Linked DNA regions of Drosophila melanogaster. The gene in region 1 interacts genetically with each later gene. Each region holds a gene or a part of one and is shown in the gene's direction. Other genes may lie near its edges.

Evidence for each region.
Region 2: of fog (region 1) and cta, changing one suppresses a phenotype caused by changing the other (phenotypic suppression), as found in Drosophila melanogaster (one study listed by BioGRID).
Region 3: of fog (region 1) and twi, changing one suppresses a phenotype caused by changing the other (phenotypic suppression), as found in Drosophila melanogaster (one study listed by BioGRID).
Region 4: of fog (region 1) and tsl, changing one suppresses a phenotype caused by changing the other (phenotypic suppression), as found in Drosophila melanogaster (one study listed by BioGRID).

The regions. Positions count from the first base shown.
Region 1 is NC_004354.4:22,852,007-22,857,112, reverse strand, and holds the start of fog (folded gastrulation), read left to right. Parts: upstream 1-1,918; 5' UTR 1,919-2,070; exon of another isoform or gene 2,071-3,306; intron 3,307-5,106. UniProt on the Drosophila melanogaster protein: Coordinates cell shape changes during formation of the ventral furrow and invagination of the posterior midgut primordium, by inducing apical constriction of cells in spatially and temporally defined manners.
Region 2 is NT_033779.5:22,979,618-22,984,905, forward strand, and holds the start of cta (concertina), read left to right. Parts: upstream 1-2,198; 5' UTR 2,199-2,580; coding exon 2,581-2,976; intron 2,977-5,288. UniProt on the Drosophila melanogaster protein: May play a role in a signal transduction pathway used during gastrulation. Required specifically for the ventral furrow and posterior midgut invaginations, where it is necessary for coordinating cell shape changes.
Region 3 is NT_033778.4:22,983,300-22,988,504, forward strand, and holds the start of twi (twist), read left to right. Parts: upstream 1-2,074; 5' UTR 2,075-2,192; exon of another isoform or gene 2,193-2,230; coding exon of another isoform or gene 2,231-3,029; exon of another isoform or gene 3,030-3,250; intron 3,251-5,205. Other genes in the region: CG32834 (uncharacterized protein), read right to left, coding at 1-976; CG32833 (uncharacterized protein), read right to left, coding at 1,209-2,015. UniProt on the Drosophila melanogaster protein: Involved in the establishment and dorsoventral patterning of germ layers in the embryo.
Region 4 is NT_033777.3:21,777,274-21,784,433, reverse strand, and holds tsl (torso-like), read left to right. Parts: upstream 1-1,897; 5' UTR 1,898-1,950; exon of another isoform or gene 1,951-2,446; intron 2,447-2,528; exon of another isoform or gene 2,529-2,716; intron 2,717-4,650; 5' UTR 4,651-4,672; coding exon 4,673-4,882; intron 4,883-5,230; coding exon 5,231-6,082; 3' UTR 6,083-6,320; downstream 6,321-7,160. Other genes in the region: Polr1H (RNA polymerase I subunit H), read left to right, coding at 6,668-6,785, 6,837-7,056, 7,121-7,145.

The DNA.
Region 1 (5,106 bases):
TTCACAACAACGCAGCATCTGCGCAAGAAGAAGGAAAAGTACGAAAACACATTTCGGTATTTTTTCTTATTTGTTTAACTTTTGTTTCTTCGATTTTTAGTTTTTGGGCGAATGACCGAAGACGAGCCCCGCACACTTGACCATCGCATCGATAAGTCCATACGAAGGGAAGACGGCGAAGAATGAGAGAATAGGGAAATGGGGATGATCCCAATTCGTACACTTGGCAAAATACCCTTAGTTTAGTTGTGGTCATTTTTAGTTCCCTAAGCTAACTCTGTAAATTTATTTTTTAAAGTAATGATCTATATCATCTACATAAAATTGCTTTTATTCATGAATTTTAGCCGGAATCACTGCATAAAAAATAAAGGGAATTCACCTTAATCAAATCGAAATTGAAACGCTGTAAACGACAAAGTGGCCTTAATTGGCCATTATGTTGGCCTAAACACCGGCACAGGCTCAAGTGGCGGCTAAAATTACCAAGAAGTGCGATTTGCGATTCAGTGCCCAATGATGATGACGGGGAACAAAACCATGACTGCTATCAACTTCAATTAGGTTTCGAGGAAATCCATCTCCGACTTTCCAGCTTTTCCGAGATATTTTTATTAAGCCGGCCACTCCAGTTAGCCTTACATATTTCCGAATGTTAGTAGTGTCTGTAGGGGTCTACCGAACTCGGACAAAATTGAAAATAAAAATTTTATTTAATAAGGTACATACATACATACATAGTACATATGTAAATAGAAACAAACAGCCAACGGAAAATTACCAGGAAGAGCCGTACTGCCTTTTTAAATTGAACAACTAGCAGCATTCAGAAAAAATTAAAAGCAGAGAACATCATTAATCATCCTTTGCAGGCGGCCAAAAGAGAGCATCTCCCTAATTGAGAACAAGAGAACATAACAGAAGAAAATGTTAATCATGTATGGGAAAAACAAAAAAGAAAAGAGAATTGTCGAGAAGAGTAAAAGGGTATACTAGATTCGTTAAAAAGAATGTAACAGGGAGAAGGAAGCGTTTTCAACCATATATGTATATGTATATGTACATGTACTTGTATATGTACATGTGTATATATGTATCGTGATCAGGATCAATCAGGACCAGTCGAACTGGTCATGTCCGTCTGTCTGTCCGTCCGTATGAACGTCGAGATATCAGAAAATATAAAAGCTAGATTCTAGAGACATTAGACGCAGCGAAAGTTTGTTCCCCATGATGCCACGCCCACAAACCTCCCAAAACTGCCACGCTCACACCTTTGCATAATGTTTTGATAGTTTTCCATATTTCTATGACTCTTGTTAATTTTTATCGATATGATAAAAATTCCCACTCTAATGCACCAAAACTGACACTCCCACACTTTTGAGAAATGATTTAATTTTTTTGTATTAAACCAGTTGTTTTTCCAATTTATAGATATGCCGAAGATATGCTATCTTAAACCGCCCAATATATCCTGCCCAGACCTTAGAGAATTAAAATTAATTTTTTCCCACCAATTTCTACTAATGTTCGTGAAAAATGTTGAAAAGTCTCGTCCCACTTGGACTTGCTGAATAACGGGTATCTGATAGTCGGGGAACTCGACTATAGCGTTCTCTCTTGTTTTAAATTAATGACATACATACTCAAAACAATGCACGATCAAAACAGCAAAATGATTTCTTTGTGCAGTTGCAACTTAAGAGCAATGAAAACTGAGCGCGGCTTCAGCGCGCTCTTTGAAAAGAGTTCCCTAATGCCGCGCATCGGCTCTTTTCTCTCGGCTAAGATCATTGTCGAACGCGCGTACATATACATATATACAGTACATGTATATTTATATCTGACCACTCTCTGTCTGTCGCAGCGACTGCGGCGCCGACGTCGACGCCTGCGACGACACGTTTCGAAGCCGCTTCTCATTCAAAAAACAACTGTGAACGTGATCGGTAACGGTGCGTGTTCTCTTGTCCGCCCGCTACAGTCTCTTCAAAAAAAAAAACTTAAAAGAAATGAGGGGGGAAGAAAGCGGATAAAAATCACCAACAATAGTAGCAAATGAAAAAAGTAAAGTAACACTATCATTTCGATTGAATTTGTAACATAAATTCGATATTTAAGAGACATGTGCAATCGGTCAAAACGTGGCGCATATAACTTAAAAGCAAATAGTAACATGGGAATATAAATTTGTAATATACATAAATATCTTCTGATTGTGTCCCTTAAAAACGTTTCTTCGTGTGCTTTTATTTTATCTAAATTTGACCCGATTTTAATTTGAATTTGAACAAGAACCTAAACTAAAACAAAACAAAAAAACATTCGAATGCTTATCTGTAAAAGGAAACAGGAAAGAGAGAACGAACGAAGTGAAAATAAAGTAGAATAAAATAAAATACATACTACGAGGCATGTATAAATATACTACGCTTTTGTGTTTATACTACATTGTGAAACAGTTGTCGTTGTACTTGTTGTTGTCTTTACAGCAACAGGCGTCCGATAATTTATAATCTTAAAAATATATGTGCGCCGTACATATAGATTCGCCTACTGAAAAACCCGAGATCAACTTTAAAATACTAGTACCAACCATAATTTGAAGCTTAGCTTTGAGTTATAAATATTTAGTTAACGTTATTTCACAATGATATATATTAAATATCTACAATATTTCACAATCTTAAGCTATTTTCGGTGCACATGTAGGCATTATTTTTGAATTGCACTCAATGTTGCATACAAAATAATTCTCTTTCGTTTTTCCCAAACAGGATGTTACCATTGATACCTTTTGAAGTCGATTTGTTGTAGTGTGTTTTTTTTTCGTGTGCGCAAAAGTCTTTGTGAATTATATGATAATACATGTGATACAGTTGGAGAAATAAAATAGATAAATCAACAAAATCGAATACAAAACCGTGTTGTCCTAATGAGCCTAACAACTGCAGCGAAAAATGAAAGGCAGCCAGCGACGGGAAAACTTTAAGCAACTGAAAAAAATTTAGTATCTTACAAGTTTGAACTGGCTCTTACCAGCAAGCCAATCAACACATACATATAAAATTCTTAATAAACCAAACAAAAAATTAAGCTCAACCGCCATCAAATCGAAATTCAAAACGAGCCAATTTGTGGTGTTTATTATTTATTTGTATGCTAATTTATTTTTACAACAACTTGATATTAACCCACAATCAAAGAAAAACAAAAGTGGGGAAAAGACAAAGAAGAAGCAACTAAAAGCAAAAGCAGCGCACCTTCTTCGGCATCTTTGTTTTGGGATATAAAACAGCAAAAGTAAGTGGATTGTATGTATTTTTATTTAACGTTTATGTGTGTTTTATAATGCCCATCGAATAACCCATTATTACTTTGCGCTGCGAAACTTGTTTCTTAATGCAAATTAAATTGAAAGGAAGCCAGCGAAATGTATACAGCCCAGAAAATTTGGATAACAGATTCGAAACCCACAGTATCTCGTTTCTGGTACTCCTTATTATCCTGCTTCATTATTTCCTGGGTATCAGGATGTCTCGTTTTCGTGGGCTTATCCTAGCGGTTTTTCCGGTCTCACGCCCGATGCTGACCTTCTGACTCTGCGGATGTGGGAAATCTAGCCATTCTGCAGATACAGAGCTGGCTCTTGAGATCTTAAATGACCAAATCGGGAGGTATTTAGTCTAATGCTTTTCGAAGTAGCTATTACGCGTCCAAATGGATTCAGCATGAATATGTTTGGGCTCATGCCATTGACTGACGAGTAGGTATAGTTTCCCTAAAAGCGAACTGATAAATATTAAAAGCATTTTTAATCACTTCTTGAACAACAATAGACACGTGCACATTTCTCAATCTGGTCAAGCGCCTTACTAGTTATTGCAAAAACCAATTTCACGACGTGACCACAATGGATGACAACTGACCTTAGTGTCATCATGCAACCAAAACAATCGAACTACACCAATTCGAGGCGCATTAGGTGTCTTATCGGGGTTCGCTCTCAAACATTTGCCAAACAAGTGAGTTCACGATTATGTTTACAGAGGTGAGTTCCATGAGTTCGCTGGTAATGGACATGATGATGATAATGCCGATGAAGTCACGCGGTGACTATCAGCGCCAATGTGGCAAAGTGATCACTTCCGCTGGACGCAAAATATATTGCGGCTTAAAATGGAAAACTAAAAGCAAACCATGAACGAATTTCGGTACCAAAATTTTATTCCCGCATGAAAGTGTAACCAAGTTAATTGCATTTAACCGACTGTCCAAAAAATAAAGAGCTGGAAGGGTGGCCAAGCACTCAAGTGACTGGGAAATTGTTGACATGCACACTGAGAAAAATGGCCATATTTATGTGTGTATTTAGTAAATTTTTCCGTGGACTCGTTCTTTTATTTGTTTTTGCGCAGACATGAATTACAAAATGTTTTTTGTGCAAGTTCCAAAACGCCCGCAAAATGCTCCAAAAGTCATTATCAGCAATAGAAAGTGTTACAGACGGCACGAAAATTAAATTACGGGTATTGTGATGGTACGTATACATACATATGTATGAATACTATATAGATAGAGTTCGCTTCGATTGCCTCGACTATCAGATAGCCGTCACTCAGCCATAACTCCTAAAATAATTATCCGATTCAAATTATCTATACAGCTATTGTCTTCCGGACATACATATATTTATGCCTATGTTGATACCCCCCCGGGAACGTGGAATGAAATCAGCAACCGAAAAAAAAAACGAATCTATCACGAAATTATTTTCGAGGCTCTTGAGTCCCTTGTGCCCATGGCTATGCAGCCGTGGTAAAATTGATTCAGCTGCATCGGGGCAAACAGCATTAAACGGTCGATCCATAGGGCAGTACGTGCCTGAGGGCCCAAAAGCCGAAAACCAAAAACCGATGGCAATATACGACCTCCACTTACACGAAAAACTTGGGGATTATTTGTTCTGGAATTTCTGGAATCTATCCTATTCCCATTCTGTACAATGCTTTCAAGGGGATTCCAAGAAATCGGCTAATGCTGATGTAAGAAGTTCCGAAAAAGTTCGTACCTGGAAGTACTAAATACAATACATATGTACAT
Region 2 (5,288 bases), on another chromosome or scaffold:
CGTCTCTTGTTTTTACTCACACAAGCAAGCAAATTCTATTTTTAGATTTCTTACGTTCTCAGCGTGAGCGAGCGGAAAGAGAGCAATTTTGGCCGTCACCAAAAAAGTGGCTGCATAGTGCCAAACCAATGTATGGCCGTTACGCATCTTGTTATTCTAGTGTCTTTGCTCAAACTGTAGGGCAATAACTTGTACGTTCGGTAGTGGCTTGAACATGATCCAATTTGGCTTAATAATCTGGTAACTGTGCATTAAGAGTGCCCATTCGGAGAGTTCTCTTTTCTTTGAGGTATAGCTTTGGATATCCTTGCAGCTAAGCAGAGTCAAAAGGGCTGATGGTGTAAGTCTCATCTCTTGGGCGGCTTTGTCAGCGAGTTTGTCAGTTGTCAGCGAGTCCGTGGATTCCTTGATGATTGGGAACCCAGAGTAAGGTGACCACAAAAGTGGTTGAGTCGTTGACTTTAGAACCATTGGTATTAATTCAGTTTTTCTTTTTCTTTCTTTTTTTTCAGCTTTGTAGATCTGAAGGCTGTTTGAAACCCCAATGTGCATAGGCAGGGTGAGGTCAAGTTGCTTGATGTAGTCAGCGCAACGTGTTAGAGTGGATATGCATTAAAAATTCAGCTTTTGCTTGAAAATGGCTCCGAAGTCATGGGTTAGCAGGCAGTTGGACGTGGTGTACAGCTTCGAGATTAGCATCAATGTAGTTTCTTCTACGCGGAATTCCGCCAAGTTATCCAACCCATAATATAAACTCTGCCCATTTGATAAGCAAATTTCACACTCCAATCTCAACAGCATTGCCTTTGCCCTTGTTTTTGTCGCCAACACTTAGCCTGCTTTTGTCCTTGTATTGTCGCCAACACTTAGCCTGCCGCAGATTGGAAGACGGTAGTCAATTTTAAATAGCATTAATGCGTGCGTAATCGTAATATCTATGAGAGTCTTAGTTATATGTACGAATATTTAGATGATAGAAATTTAATAATGTGAAATCTAGTTTCCAGTTGTTTTCTTTGAATCTGACAGTGCTGTTTGAAAAGTAGTTTGCAGTCGAAGGTCATCCCCAAATTTTTTAAAAAGTTTACATCATTTATTGTGCGGAGAGATTACAACGTTTTTTCCGTCAAATTATAATAGTTGGCATTTTTCAATGGCAGAGAGGTATTTTCGTGCAATATTTCTAAAAATTTTGTGCTGACTGTATGAATATTTTTTATTTTTGTAAAGTGAGATGTAAATATATTTTTGCCGAGTTACAATGTTATTTATTTCTTCAATTGCAATCATAAATAAAACCGCAGAAATTGGCGAACCTTGCGGAATTACATTGTGTAAAATGTTTGAATTCGATGTGACATTGTTTATTCGAACCCTGGTAGTTCCGCCGTCCAGGGCGGCCATGCTGCACCCCGGGCTATAAGACGGATGCAAAGTACAGTACGCTGTCATCAAGTCTGATCACCGCTTCCGAAATAAAGCCTTCTGCCCAGCTCTCTTAAACAATATTAAGCTTAGCTTTAATTAGTTGACAGCCTTACAAAGAATCTAAACGAATTCCAAAAATCTTAAACACAGGTGGCGAGCACGCAAAACGGAATAAATATTTATTTATTTATTTCTCTATGTAAGCTAATGGCCATGATATTAAGATTAAGATATAAAAATATTTTTTGAATCTTACCTAGCTTTAGTGTATTGGATCAACCTAATATCGAAATAAAACAGAATGCGAATTAAACCAATCAATGCTACTGTATCCATAGCAAAAGTTAAAAATGTTTTTTTTTTTTTAATTTTCATCCCATACAGGTCATCCTATAAGGGAACGTGCCCTCTCCAAAAGTCACTTCATTAAAATAAAGTTTTAATTTTAAAGAAATATTCTACAACCAATTTTTTTATTAATGTTATTGTAACTGATTTGTTTTGTTCCCAATTAAAGAATAATATTTTCTTCTCATTTTCTTTTTATCTTATATGCTTTAAAATTTAAAATTAAATTATAAATTACATTCCTGGTAAACCCGATATAATAATTTGTTTTTAATAATTCTTTACACTAAAGAGCTGGACCTGTTGCTTATAATATTGTCAAATTGGTTCACATATGGAACCAATTTCACCGAAAAACTGATCTGTGGGAACATGGTATAACAAAGTTGACACGAATGTTTATGTTTTATATACAGGCAAAAATTATTATCACCGCTGTTGTTTGCTCCATATATAATTACAATTATATTCCTAAAGAAACGTAAATGTAATGGCTGAGAGTGTCATAACCTAATAACGATCACGTTCAGTGTCTTATTGGTGTGAACTTTATTCCGGAATTTGTGTTGCGTTTAAGTCTGATGCCATGTAGAAATAATGGTTATGGCTTTCAGATGGCAACATCGCCTTTTAATCTAATATGAGGCCTACAATTAGAATATGCAGAATTCAAAAAGTGTTTGTTTATAAATTAAAGCGAAAGCAAGACGATGAGCATCTGCTGTTAGTGTGGGGAGTGTTTGACGTATTGGTGTTCGTGTGTGTATATAGAAAGTGCGAGCATCAGGCGTTGGCTTGCCAGCGATGTCTGGCATTACATTGACCAAATTAACTCAAGAACGAATTTCCATTCCAAACAACAATGTCATCACGAACGGCGTCGAAAACAACATAGATAGTGACACGCTTAGTGGTACTCTGACTCATCTTATGGAAGAGCATCGCACGCGGGTGGGAGCGGTAACTGGACCAGAAGCAGCGACCACGTCTACAGACGGCCTAATATCGAATGGAGCAGAGCGACTGCGACTTCAGGGCAGTCGGCTTCAGACCTCGCGCTTTGCTTGCTTTCGATGTTGCGGAAATATTATCACATATCTAGTAAGGCTGCGTAGTACCCCTGAGGAACTGGAGCAGCGCTACAAGTCCAAAGAGATTGATAAGTTCCTGGAAAAAGAAAAACACACCTTTCGACGTCAGGTAAGGTGATTTAGGGATATCGATTTCTAACCCTTGCTGTTGGTTATTTTATTTAAATGTTAACAACGAAGTAAAGGAGATATTCGACAAATTAAAGTCTATGTACAATGGCGGAAAAATTATAATGTGTTTAAAATGTAATTTCTGTACAATGTTATAAGCATATATTTAATTTAAAAAGTTACGTTTTTTTGCTAACAATTCTAGAATTATACGTATGTGTTCTTAATTAACAGGACTAGGCAAGTCGGTCGAGTAGTATATATGTACATACATACATACATACATACAACAAGCGCTATATATTTGTAACCGAAAAATATAAAAACAAGAGAAATCCTATAGTTGTGAGCTCCGCAAGTATAAGATACACGCTACTTAGGTAATGGAAGACTTCCTACTTCTTGAGGCCCGTCCCGTCTCGAGCACGAAACCTAGTCCCAAAAAAAGCCCGGGGCCCTGCCCAAGCTAAACACGAACAAATTAAAAAATAAAAACAATGCAATTTTTTTTAATTTAAAGTATGTCGGTTTTCTTATATTTATATTTCTTATATTTTGTAAACAAAGTTGATTGCAAAAAACTTAATATTTAGTACAGTTTTGGTGTTTTAAACATAATTTATGACAAGTTTTTATTTAAAAATATTTTTTTTTTTAAATTAGAACATTTTAAACGTGTACATCGCTCATTTAATACAATTCCAGAGGTAGAAAATAATCTTTTGCTATTCGCTGAGCTTGCCGGAATGGCAATTCAATAACTTGAGTTCACTACATTTCCAAAATTCTAACACATTTTGGTCTGAAGTAGCTGCACAGCCATTTAAATATTTTTCTATTTCAATATCATAAGAATTTAGTTGTAACTAAGTTTTTTTGAAAAATTTTTAATCCTGAAATTCTGCAAACAGTCCTAACCCCTTTTTATCTGGGCTTGCAGTTCTTAATCCTATAAAACTCCTCATCACTTTGCATTTCTGAAAGCATTGCTTTGACAGTTACAATTACATTCTCCTTAACTTTTGGCGATAAGCAACACATTTCCTTAACGGGAGAATTTAAGAAGAGTCCAACATAATGTGCCGTTTATGGTGCACATCTTTTATGTAAAGAATTTAACGTATTATTTTTCAGCTGAATTATGGTTTCAGAATCGAGCATTTCACTGGCGCACATCTTTAATACTTTCTCCGATCACAAACAAAATAGATTTATCGATATTAGAATCCAAACTGTATTCTTCCATAATTTCCTTAACGTTATTGAGGATGTTCTCGCCTGTTAGATTGTGACAAACAAGTTTAACTTTCGGTTCTGCCTGCGGGCTTTTTTCTTAGGGCACGAAAGACGAATTTGAGGCCCGAACCCAATTTTTTTGGCAAAGGCCCGCGGGCCTTGAAATAAAGCCCGGCCCGCGCTGCATCATCATTTAAAAAACATTATAATGGTCCACATTACAAAATTTTTGCCAGGCACAGTCTATCAAATACTTTTGCAAAACGGACTTAATTGTTATAGGCATTTTTTAAAATAAATCTCCATTCAAGAACAACATTTTGTTTTTTATAAGCATGCAGAGTTTTTTTCAATGACTTGTTCAAGGGTAATAGTTTCTTGTTCACAGAAAGGGTAAGGAGTTTACTTTGGGTGAGTCAGGGAATGTTTTTAAATGTCTTGTTTTTGAAAAAACAATTGAAGATATTTCATGGAATTTCTTCACCGGCCCCAACCAGGTCTAATTTTCTACTTTGACGTGTTAGTCGATTTTTCTCGGAAACGAACAAGGTTTTAGACCGATAATTCGGTTATGAGCATAACACAAACTTTTGCACATATATTTTGTTAATCCATTCATAAAACAAATTAACAATATAAATCTTGCTCCATCTCTTATATTTCGTGCAATGGAAAGAAGAGGTTTGGACAAGAGGCTAGTTTGATTAGAAACGGTCGGACAAGCATGAATATTTCGATTCGCTTGTTCATATTGATGAATAATATACATATGTACACTGCGCCTCACCAGGTTAGCGCACCTTGAGTAAAAATCTTTGATGTGAGACATTTAGAAAACTGCTTAAGCGAAAGTTTTTGAAATTTTTTCCCTTAAAAGTTGTAAAATTTCATAAATGAAAAGTTTATATGGGATGCAGTTTGTTGTTTATAGATTTTTGTTGAAATAAAAAAGAAAAACAAAAACACCAGAAAAAAAACATCAGGATAGCGCCCCTATGACAATTTAGGTTTTTTTTTATTAATTTCGAAAAAAGTTAGATGATTATCACTTAAATGTTTAAAATCTAATATTTT
Region 3 (5,205 bases), on another chromosome or scaffold:
GTAAGGTACTAGAGACTGTACTAGGTAAGGTACTAGATATGGTACTGGGTACGGTACTGGTGGAAGGTTCAGTACTAGGTACTGCAACAGGTTCTGTGCTAGGTTCAGAACTAGGTACAGTGCTCGGTACAGTAGCAGTTGTAGTGCTAGCCACAGTGGTACTACTATCACTAGAAGTACTTGTCGAAGCGGTTGTATCCTCATCTTCGGTGTTCTCGGCAATCCAACCTGTGAACCAAGGTACATTGGCGTAGACATCTGGTTTGGTGGTGCAGCCGCCTTCGGATAGAATGCCCACGAGTTGTCCATCTATCACCAAGGGAGCTCCCGTATCGTAGGAGCATCCTCCGGCGCCATTATGAGTGCAGAGGGTAAGGTACGAGATGCCATTGTCCCAGAGTCCGAACCAAACACCGCGATCCGCGGCGCACTGCTCCCGATTGTAGACGCTGACCCATGCCATCTGCAGATAGTCCGGCAGACTGCCGAAGCACCTGTCCCACCAGCTGCCCCACCAACTGGTGGATCCCCAGCCGGAGACAGTGCACCACGAACCATCGTCCGGTTCATCCTCTGCTATGCTGATGGGCTGAATAGCTTCGGAGGTCTTGAGCGGATCGCACAACTTCAACAGTGCCAGATTGTTATCGAAACGCCAGCAATTGTACTGCGGGTGATTAATTATTTCACAGACTTCGAGCAGGAATCCAGTTCCATCATAATCGCGGGAACTGGTGCCCACGCGTACTTCAATTGAACCGTAGGACTGGACACACGAAGCTGCTGTGATGATGGTGTCTGATGTGATGATCGCCCCACTGCATATTGCTGTGCCATCTATTATTACTTCCGCCTGGTACGGGGCATCTTCAATATCCACATCATAACCTCCAATGATGCGGCTTTGGGCATCCAGATCACCACGAACCGGCCGTAAAAGAGCAGCCAACAGAAATAAGAACACACTCCAAATCATTATAAACAACTGATTTTTAGAGCTGCATGTGCGACTCTTTTTATAGGAAAAGTTAAGTCGTTTTCAAGGCTAGAGCTCCTTATCTGCAAAGTCATACCTCAAATTGAGTGATGGCTTTACTTCGAAGCTCTATCAAAATAGGAAGTATTGCGTATTACTTGCACTAATCTGCACATAGTCATAGCTCGAAGGCAAAGTATTTTTTAACAATTAATTGGGAGAACGCTTAAGTTTACTTTGTATGATTATGCAGCCAGTCCTTGTACTTTATAAGATTGATATAGACTTCTGGATACTCCGAACAGCCGCCTTTCGTTATAATGCCGACCAGTTTGCCATTGTGGACCACAGGTGATCCCATCGCTAAAGAGCAGGCTTCCTTAGCGAACTTCTCGGTGCAGAACAAGTCATCTGTAAAATTCTTTTTGGACCAATTGTTTCGCGCCCACAGATCTGTGCACTGGCTAGGGCCAAGTAGCTTCACCTCGGCCTTCTGCAGCTTGTAGGCTTCATCATCCAGACACTTCTTCCAATACATTGCCCACCACCTGAAGGAGGGCCACCCGTTGGCCGTGACCTTTGCCCCATTAGACGGAAGCTGGTTGGCCAACTGAATTGGCTGGATCGTTTTGGAGGCCTCGAGCGGTTCGCACAACTTTAATATGGCCACATTGTGAAATACTGTCTGGCCGGTGAACTTTTCGTGAACTGTAATGTTGCAGACTGCTACTTCGATGACTCCATCGCTGCGCGTAGTGCTACCCACTCGTACACGGATCACCTTGTTCAGGAATCCATCCACACATTTCCCGGCTGTCACAATGTGACTCAGTTTGTATATCGCTCCGTCGCACTTGGCCTTTTGTTTGATCGAAATGGAAGCAATCCATGGCGCTGTGGTTATGTTCACGGGATGACCACCAAGAGTCGTCCGGTTGCAGTCGTTTTCGTCGTCCTCTTCCGAATCTTCACCTGCACCCGTGTCACTTTTGGAAAGGACAAAGAGTGCAAGGAAAATTGGTAGAGATCGCAGAAGCATGATGCCAAATAAATGTGCATATAGCAGGCTGTTTAAATTTTATAGTATTGGCACAAAGCATAGCAAATTAATTTGTTTTACTTTACGGTGTGTTAAAATTTTTCTCACTTTAAGCCATTGTGCAATGTTCTTTATTCTGTGCTTTACAAATTCAAATATAGATCTACAGAAGGCAAGGTAATATTATCATTAAACTATTCACAGCAAGTAAGATATTAATCCTTCGTATTCGAGTCCAGCCAGTTCGTGTGCCCCAGGATATTTGCATAGACATCGGGCTTAATGGAGCAGCCCGCTCTGGAGAGGATGCCCACGAGCTTGTTGTCGATGACCAGAGGCGAACCCCTGTCTGTGGAGCAGGCTCCCTTGCCCGGCGACTTGGTGCAGATGGTCAGGTCTGAGATTCCCTTGAGTAAGTAAAATGGTATGACTTTCCAGTCGGCGGCGCACTGTTTTTGGCTAAGGATCCGCACTTGAGTGCCGTGCAATTGGACAGGCAGCTGGAAGCACTTCTCTTCTATTCCGCTGCTAATCCTCTAAGTCTAAGATAAGGTCAAGGAAATTGCCTGATCTGCCACCACAGCCAGTCACATTGGCTCGAGAATTATCATCCGGCACTTTGTCGGCCCTCTCAATTGGCTTTATTTCATCGGTGGTGTTGAGTAGCTCGCAGGTTTTCAAGAGAGCCAAGTTATTGTCAAAGCGCCAGCTGGAGTACTGGCTATGAACTTTGACCTTACAGATTCCAGCAATTGATCCACTAGTGCCGCAGCTGCTGGTTCCCAACCTGACTTGTATGCTCCTGGCGCTGTAGCCATCCACACACTTGGCGGCAGTCAGGATGTAGTTCTTCGAGATAATGGCACCACCGCACTTGAGCTTCGAATTGACTATGATGGAGGCATACCACGGTGCATCCTTAATGTTGACAGTGTTTCCGTTTATGATCCGCTGATCTCCGAGAGCCAACCAAGGCAGAGCCACAATCTGCAGGAGGATTAGTGGGGCTAACATTCTCTTTAACTGACTTTCGTGAAGGGCGTGCTCCTCTTTTTATGGGATTCTTTGTTAATTAAACGGAATAGCTTTGGAATACTCTTCTTATCTACCTTTCGAAGAATCTATTTTGTAATGTAAGAAGAATATGTATTACAATGTATTACAATCCATATTGGCATTTGAAACATTTTGAATGATAAATACGCCCTGTGCGCAATCGATTGAATATAAAACCGAACTATTATACGTTCAATTGCCAATTGGGGTAATCCACATATATGCCCAAATTATAAAGTATAATTTAAGCAGCCGCATCGATTCTTTTCGCTTAGAGCGGCTTTGTACCCGTCCTCCGATTTGAGACAAAACTCACCAGCCATTACACTAAGCCGCTTAAATATTTGAATAATTCCTGCAGAGTAAAAAAAACGTGGGTGACTGAAATATAGCTGGACATTTCCATCAAGCGATATTTGCATGTATTTATGCAATTTTACATGAATGCAGATTTAAATCTGGGCAATGTTTAGCAAAATGTCGAAATAAATACTTTCATGGAGGAAAGTGGCAGGAGAGAGCTGGCGAGGGGCAAGGGGCATGGGGCATGGGGCAAGTAAACAAACATTTTGATGATTCGCCATGTCAAGTGGGTCGGTTTCGCAGCCAGGCAGGCGGATTAAAATGGATTACAACTGAATTATTTGATAATGTCCCAGCAGATGCAACACATCGCATTGCTTTCGCCCCGAATCGCATTTAATTTTTATCAATGTGAAAATCATTTTTGGTTGCTGGGTTTTTTATTACCATTTTATTGGGTTTTTTCGGCGGGCTGAATCGTGTTTTCAATTTGCCCCTGGATCTACGTTTTCTTTTGTCAAATATTGTTTGGGTGTGCTTTTTTTAGCTCTATTTAATTGATTTTATTTACGCAAAATCAGGAAAGCTTGCTCGCTTTATACGAGGCTTTAATTAATTTAGTTAATGGGATATATTCGCGTACTATTCATGATCTTTTGTTAAACTGTTATGCTTGAAAAAAAAGGATTAATTATGTTAAAAGCAAGTGCCTTTCTCACCATTTTATAATATTCAACAGATTTGCTAAGCAAGGCCACTTTTCAAATGACCTCAATTGGTTTTTTTTGCTGGCCTAATGAATATTTCAGTTTTGGCAACATCGCTAACGCCATAGACGTCCATCGATGGCCATTTCCAGCTCGATCCAGCTGCTCCTCCATCTCAATCAGCCTTTGGCTCATACATAACCCAGTAAATCCTTTTCCAGCTCGATGGCATCGTTGCCAATTTTCACACCAGCGACAATTACTCAAACCGTTGGCAACAACAAAAACATGGGTTACCACTGTCCTCGTCCTCGCTCCCTTTTCCCTGACCCGCTTTTCCCGGACTTTTCCCGCCCGCCCCCGCAGTCACAGCTCGCCACTCGGAATCGAGGGAGCCGGCAAAACAATCGTTGACAAAAATATTTGCATGCACTCTGGGTGCACTTGTCCGAATCGCCGTGCTGGGGATGCAGCTGCTCCTCAGCGCTGCTGTGCCGCGTGTGTTGCCATCGGCGGCGGCGCATTAAATATGCAACACCTATGACAGCAAGCCGCTTGACATTTGGATCCGAAGGCACGGGACTGGAGACCCATTCCAGTTTTAAGCTGGAACTAAAGTTTTGCCGACAATTTGCAGCTAAATTTGTCAAAAAACCAGAAACTTGGCCGGCTGAGAAATTATGACTTCCGCAATTGTTGGGTGGAACAAAGGGAATCCAGCGCAGTGCCAAAGTGTGACCGACCCGAAACAGTTCAAAAGGCAACTGTTGCTCTTGAACCTTTGGAAAATCCACCGCTTCAAATGCCGTTACACCCCCCGCCCCCCACACACGGCAAAGTTTTCAAATAGAAAATGTTTAATTTCCCCAAAGACAACGTCGATGCTGCTGCTGCTTTCCCGAAAACGCAGCGTTTTCCCACCCAGGCCAAGGAAACTTTCTTACATATTTTACAATAGATCTTCGTGTGTGTGAGTAAGAGTGTGTATGGGTGTGTGTGTGTGGGTGGGTGCAACAGTGCAGCCGAAAAAGTTTCTCCTTTCCCGGGCGGAAAGTTAGCTAAGACAAACGCCCCGAAAATACCCACATCGCTCAGTTGCCAGCGCCCATCGCTGAGCTTCCGGG
Region 4 (7,160 bases), on another chromosome or scaffold:
CAGCCAAGTGGCCAAATTAACTAAGTATTATACCTTAAAGCGAACGATAGATTGAACGAACGGACGAGACGAGATGAGATGAGATGAGATCAGATAGGAGGAGGAACCTTATAGATGACACGGCTTGAGATAGATGTATGTACATTTTGAAGCTCCCCCAACCAGGCTAAGTGTGCCAGAAAACACCAAAAATCGATGAAATGATTAGGAAAAGAATGCTCAAATCAAAATCTTATATTTTACGGTATTACAATGATTAGGAACGATTGAAATGAATTGGAAATGGGGGGTAAAAAAAGAAAACGATACCGACAGAGAGTATCCTGAGATTGAGCTAGGATTTCGAATGATTCGTTTCGTACTTTTACTTGATCCTTTTTTCTTAGCCGATGCGAGCAGATTGTAGCTGTACTCTAAGAATAATTTCACACTAAGATTAAGTAAAAATTTATTGTTGATATTACATAAAAAAAAAAGAAAAGGAAGACGCAGAAGTGAGATGAACACGGTCGCGTAAACCAAATGAATTAGAATTTTTCTCTAATTTCATAAGTCAATGATCATTATGATGATGATATGATACCGAGGGTAACGATGGTAAAGATGAGTTGAAAATGCTTATGATCTCCAATGTCAATATGTGTAGATTGACGCGATTTGAGCTAATTGAGTGAATTGTTATTATAATAATAAATGAAGTGAAATGAATGGATCGGCAGATCGATCGATCGTTTGGGGCGCAGAAGGCCGCGGTGTTAGTAAATATCATTTAAAATAAATGATAAAAATGTCATTATATATACATAGTTTAAACATGGGATTAATAATAATAAATTAAATGAAAAAGAACCGAAGAAACTGGAATGAGAATTAAATAAAAACGAGTAAACACTGAAATACCGAATTTTAAATACATAAGTTTTGAATCATGCATGCTGCAAAGACAAAGCAAAACCCACACAGAAACCGAAACAAAAGTAATAAAATGAACTTCTATATATGAAAAGAGAAAAATATACGAGAGATACAATTTCAACCAGCTTTTGCAATACTTTTCGGAAGCCCTTCCCCCAACGCCTCTTCCAAAAGAAAGACCCCCCCCCATATCAGCAGCAAAAAAAGACTTCAAATCAGAACCTTTTCATTTCTTAGAAGCCAGCAGCGAATTTTGCAGAAATTCCCAATGGCCATTGGAAGTCAAGGCAAATGCGACAAAGCGGATGCCCTGCAGCCATGGCTCTTTGAGCAACAGATACAGATACAGATACATTTGTATCTTGAGCTTCTAATTGAAACATTACACTCGAACTTCAAACGTTGTCGCCCAACACTTTGAGTTGACCCAAATTTGTTAGCATGTTTTCAAGGTAATGCGAATTTGATACTTTCGTTTTCGTTTTTATTTTTCGGCTTACTTTTGGTCTCATTATTAGTTTTTTTTTTGCACAAGTAGTACCAAAAGTTTTTGATTACTGGCCGCCCAGTTCTATGGGAATCTTGCGCAAGTCTGGCCCGGGTAAACTGCAATCATTTCAATCTGCCTCGATTCGGCAGCCCTCCGACTCCCCGCGCCATTGAAGAAAACTGGAAGTTGAACGACGTGCTCGGAAATATTAATAAGCGGAAAAGCTGTCCCCCCAAACGGCAGATGTCAACAATAGATATTTGTGCCAGGCCATTAGCATTAGCCATAGCCACTACCGTTGGAGGAGTAGAACTTCTGCTGGCTGCCAGTCATTGAACTGCAACTGCTGCCAGTTGCTCGGTTGGATCAGACGACACGACGCACAGCAGCAACATGTTGCTGTCGTAGCGCAACATATATTGTTGCTGCTGCTGTAGCTGCTTGAACGGATCGGCTTGTTCTCTCCGGCGATCGAGTTTTTGGTAGCCAGTTTCAGTTAGGTTTTGAGTCTTCGCGCTTGAAGGTGTGCTGCTCGCGTTTTGAGTGTAAGTGCTGCCGCAAATTCCGGCTTATAATTGCAATTGAAGGCACGTCGTCGCTCGTTTTAGTGTGTTTTAAGTCTGTTTTAGTGTTTGCCGTTCAGGGTACTTGACGACTGCCTGTGTGTGTGTGTGTGTACGTTGTTGGTTGTTGAAATCTGCGCAAACGCATGTAATTCGAACCACAGCGATCTATTCATAGATCCGTCTTATCACTTGAGGGCGCCAACCAAGCCGCCGACCTCTGACCCACAAAGCGTTAAAAATCGGAGTCTTAACGATGCTAATGCCAGCCATAAAGCCAGCCAACCAGCCTTGTGCAATGGCCCCCGGTATCAGAGCGATAAGGCTAACCAGTGGCGAGCCACAACTCTAGACCTGCGGATTTGTGTCGACTGGCATATAGAATTAGCCGGAGCTTCAAGCTTCTGCCGAAAATAAAACAAGCCGCTTCTGGCCGATGGTTACGTCAATTTCGATTCGCGTTCGAGTTCTCGTGCAGGTAAATAATACTACCACAAAAGTGGCAAAAGCAGCAGCACCTCAGCAGCAGTCAAGACAACTTTTGTTTAACACCGCTCAAGGAAACAACGCACACGGACCAAGCATAAAATTAAGCGCGATATAAACTGCAGACCTTATGCCCCACGTCTGTGCCCTTCGCCCGGGGTTTACTCCAGACTACTACCACAAAAGAGCTCATGAAATGCGCATAAAGAATCTCCAATTGACTGGGCCGCGGACAACCACGGTGGGAAGCACTGAGAGAAATGTATGCAGGTTTTTTAGGATGTCCAAGAAAAATACACATTATAAAATCTTATTGGATAAATATAGGCCAAATAACAAATCTAATAACGATTTAAATCTGATAAAAGCATAAACAATTGGAATAAGATTCCAAATAGCTCAAAAGAGGAGTTAAGAGCTGACTGATTCTTCTCTTATTCAGTTCTAGTCCTAGATAGCCACACTCTTTTCTCCCAGTGCACAGGGAGTCACAGTTGAACGAGTTGATTTTTAGTTGCCTTTGCTTTGGAGTCCGAGTGCGCGCATTGAATTTTTGATTTAATTCGTCTTCTTCATCTCGAACTCCGGTTCGCGGCTTCTTTTTTTTTTTGGGGTCTTTTGCACAAGGTTATGCGTCCGCTATTGTCAATACCCCCACCGACAAAACTAACTATCATTAAGTCACATAACACATGCCTTTCAAGCGGATCTCAAATTTTGAACCTCAAGTTTGGCAATTGTGCGACAGTTTGATTTTCTGGGTCTCGCGATGGAGAACTAAGCTCATTTGGGCATTAGTTGTTTGCCAGAAGTTGGAAGCCTTCGAAATCGTATTCTATGCCGAGTCAGAATGTTTAAATCCGTAGAGTGATTGCAATCTGTGAGGTTCATCTGTAAGGTCAAGACAGCTGATTGCAGCATTTAGCAAATATTCATGTGTTTATAAAATGTGCAAACAAATATTTCCTGGAATCGCGCCCATGGGCAGTAATATATGTACTATAGGCAAGTATAGACAAGATGCAGTAGTCAAATGTCTCTTTTTCTTTGTTCCATTCACGGCTAGTTTCATTCAGTCACTCTTCCTGCTGTTTTTTGTTTAGTTTTTGCTGCTGGACAAGTTTAGCGACGCCTACATTTTATGGTTCACGTAAATGGTTAACATTTGAGTCTCATCATGGCTGCGTTTGTGTTTTTTTTTTGTCTGGTGCTGCGCTTCAGTGCGTCGGGTCGACAGGTGTGACTCACAAACGTGGCTAACACCCGGCTAACCTCTGTGTTTTTGGCCCATCAAACACGTCGCTCGTTCTGTGATAACGGCTCGAATTAAAAGCTGCCTCGCCAAGCTGTTAGAATGTGTGTATATGTCTGGCTTGGGCCAATTTGTTTGGCTTCCTTGCCGGCCATAATGCTTGGACAGAAAAAAAAAAAAAAAAAAACAAAAACGGCATAACCGGTCCTCTGAAGTGTAGTGGGCCAACTATAGGAAAACGGTTACGAGGCATGCAAAATGTTTTTAGGAAATAATTTGCAAGTCAAAGCGACAGCCGAACCAATTTTGATGGCTATACTTTGTAGCTGCTTTTACGGCCACAGAGCCTGCGGCTAATTGCATCCACTTAAGGTGATCAGAGTGGAGCTACGCAGAGCTCCAGCTCATCATCACCACCAGCTGGTGGCCTCTACCCAAGTCGACTTGGTCGGTTCAAGTTCAGCGCCACTGAAGGTTCATGGCCAATTAGAGCGCGCTTATATTATCGCCCGTTTATGGAGTGGAAAACAAACACGGCGGCCCTGCAATTATTGCTGTTTAGTTAACCCCACTGTATCGCAACTACTGCACTGGCTATAAAATATAAACAAACCACCGAAGTAGCTTGCTGTAAAACTTTCCGGTTTTAGTCTAAGTGAGTAATGAGTTCGGATGGTATAGCGCTGTTTGTACTTGCTTGTCATCAATATGCACATTGCAATCAAGAGTTATCTAGTCACTTGAATAAATTATTGTGGGATAGATATGCCTCATTATTGTTAAATTGCGAATTTTATAAGAGATCGGAATAGGTTGCGTTTGTTTCAATCAATAATATTTTATAGCAAGGGATTATATGGATATGGAATATGGAAACGTTTGCCTAATTCAAGTGTAATCGCTTTAAATTTGCAATATAATATTTCTATTATAATCCTCTATAGATCTAACCTTGAATGCTGAGCGATGCGGTCGTGGCCTGGCCTTTTCTGGCTGCTGACCCTGGCGCTCCTGGCGGATGGAGGTCGTCGCGAGTCCCAGCTCCGGATCGGCAAGGCCATCAATATATTCCTGCGCTATGGCTACCTGGGAATCTCCATGCGTGTGATACCGCTCAATGACAACTCGGAGCCGGATCGCTGGGTGTTTAAGGAGCCCACCAAAAACATCTATAGGGTAAGGGACTTAAGGCAGAGTTAAGCTTACATTTAATAAATTAAATGGCGTTGATGAACTCGGAATTGTTTGTATTAACCTTTAACCACAATCACCATAATTATTTGGAGTATAATCAAAATTTTAAAATAGGGTTTAAAGTTGTTATCACTTAAAACTATTTTTAGTTGTAATTATATTGTTCACTTCCGCCACGTTTGTCGTTAGAATGAGCGCTTATTATATTTGTTTGATCAGATTTAGGAAAACGATCATTATATACGATTATTCAAGTATGTCACTTGATATTTATTACCTGATAATTGAGCTGACTAGACAATTAGATAATTAATGATTTTTTTCTTTCAGAATCTGAGTGGCCTGGCGGAGAGTCATGAAGACACCACGCCCGGAATCTTTCATGGAGACTTTCACATGGAGTTCTGCGAGAATCGGAGGCAACTGTTCCAGGCCTACTTCCGTGACTTTTCCATTGAGCGAATGGACAAACCGTGGGAGGCATTTACTGGCGGATGGTTTCCGGATAATGCGGCCAAGAAGCTGGGCATCAATACATCTTTCATCCAAGGCGATTACTCGTATGTTTTGGTGAGGGTGGTGCGCTTCAGGGAAACGGGGCGTCTTAACGCTGAGATTCCGGTGCACCAACCCTTGGAGCCGGATGTGCGATCGAGAATGGATCAACTGCAAATCGGAAATATAACTTCCGCAGTGCGATTTATGGAAGATGTGGGCACCCACTACGTAAACTCATACACCACCGGCAATTCGCTGTATCAGGTGTTTGTGTACAGCAGGAAGAACTACAGCATGATCAAGGAGCGAATCAAGAGTAAAGGTCTGAACGGACTGTCCAAGTTGGATCTTTACAACTACTTTGCGCCCTGGTTTGCCGCCCATCTGGGCCAGATTCGATCGGCTAGTGCCAATGCTACAGTGGAAAGATGGGCGAGAAGGAAGCTGCAGTACGAGTACTATGTGGTCAAGTATGTGACCCTGCTGAAACTGCACGGTAATAGTACTCTACTGCGATCCCTGGACTCGCTGCTCGGCAACGATGCCATACTGCAGTTGGACCTCAAGTCGCTGAAGCCCATCTTCCGGGAGGAGCCGGAAAAGGAGAGCTGGTACCACGAGGTTCTCGACAACAATGTGAAGCTCTGGGAGCTTAACATGCCGCAGAGTCATCCCACCCGATAGCTGCATTTTAAATATATATATACTGTGCGATATGTGGCAGCCAAGGATCAATAGTTCCTAGATGCTTAGTTGTAGTTAGGAACCTCTAGTGCGTAGTTAATGTTCTGCCTGTGATAGTTTTAGGTAGTTTAATTGGAACACAGTACACATCCGACTTGCATTTCAGCTAACTAGACCGTAAGATCGCCTTATTGATGTAATAGTTTTGTAAACTTTAATACAAAGTAAAGATAAAAGTAAAAATCTTACTGTTTTCATAACTTGATATTGGCTATTAAAATCTAACTGTTTTCATTACGTAATATTGGCTATGAATATCAAATACTATTTTGAAAGTTTATTTTGAATAATTGATTTTGATTAAGAACCGGTAATCGAAACGGGTAAACGGCTCTACCCGTTTCATCAAGGCTTTCAACCAGACTTATTCTAGTTTTCCACCCTTACGTATTTAGTATATGAATCAAGTATATTTTTAATACCGTGTGGTATATTTCAAACGGTTCAGTTACGCTCATACTGAAATCCGAAATAGCACGTGCGGTTTTTGTATTTTGATTTTGATTTTGGGTGATATATACTGGCATGGATATTTTTTCCAATTGTCCGGGCTTTTGCCCCTCCTGCGGCTCCATTCTGCCCGAGCTTCAAGTCAAGGGCAATGTGATTTGCTACAACTGCAAGAAGGAGTTTCAGCCAGATGGTAAATCCAGAAATTACAACTTTGTTTAATTTATTTAACACTTAAAAATAGTTTACAGCGGCGAGAAGTCCGAGTTTACCATACACTTCAACACCTACGATCCCAGCAAGGTGTTCAACAGGACGAAAAGGGAGTCGGAATCGGACGCGGATGGCCCCGTTGTGGAGAGGAAGTGTCCCAAGTGCAACCACGACAAGATGTCCTATGCCACCCTGCAGCTTCGATCGGCGGACGAAGGCCAGACGGTGTTCTTTACCTGCCTTAAGTGCAAGTAGGTGTCCTGATAAACATATTCCTTCACTTCCACAACTAATCACACACATTCTACCTTGCAGATTCAAAGAATCCGAAAACTCTTAGTTGCTAGCAATGTCC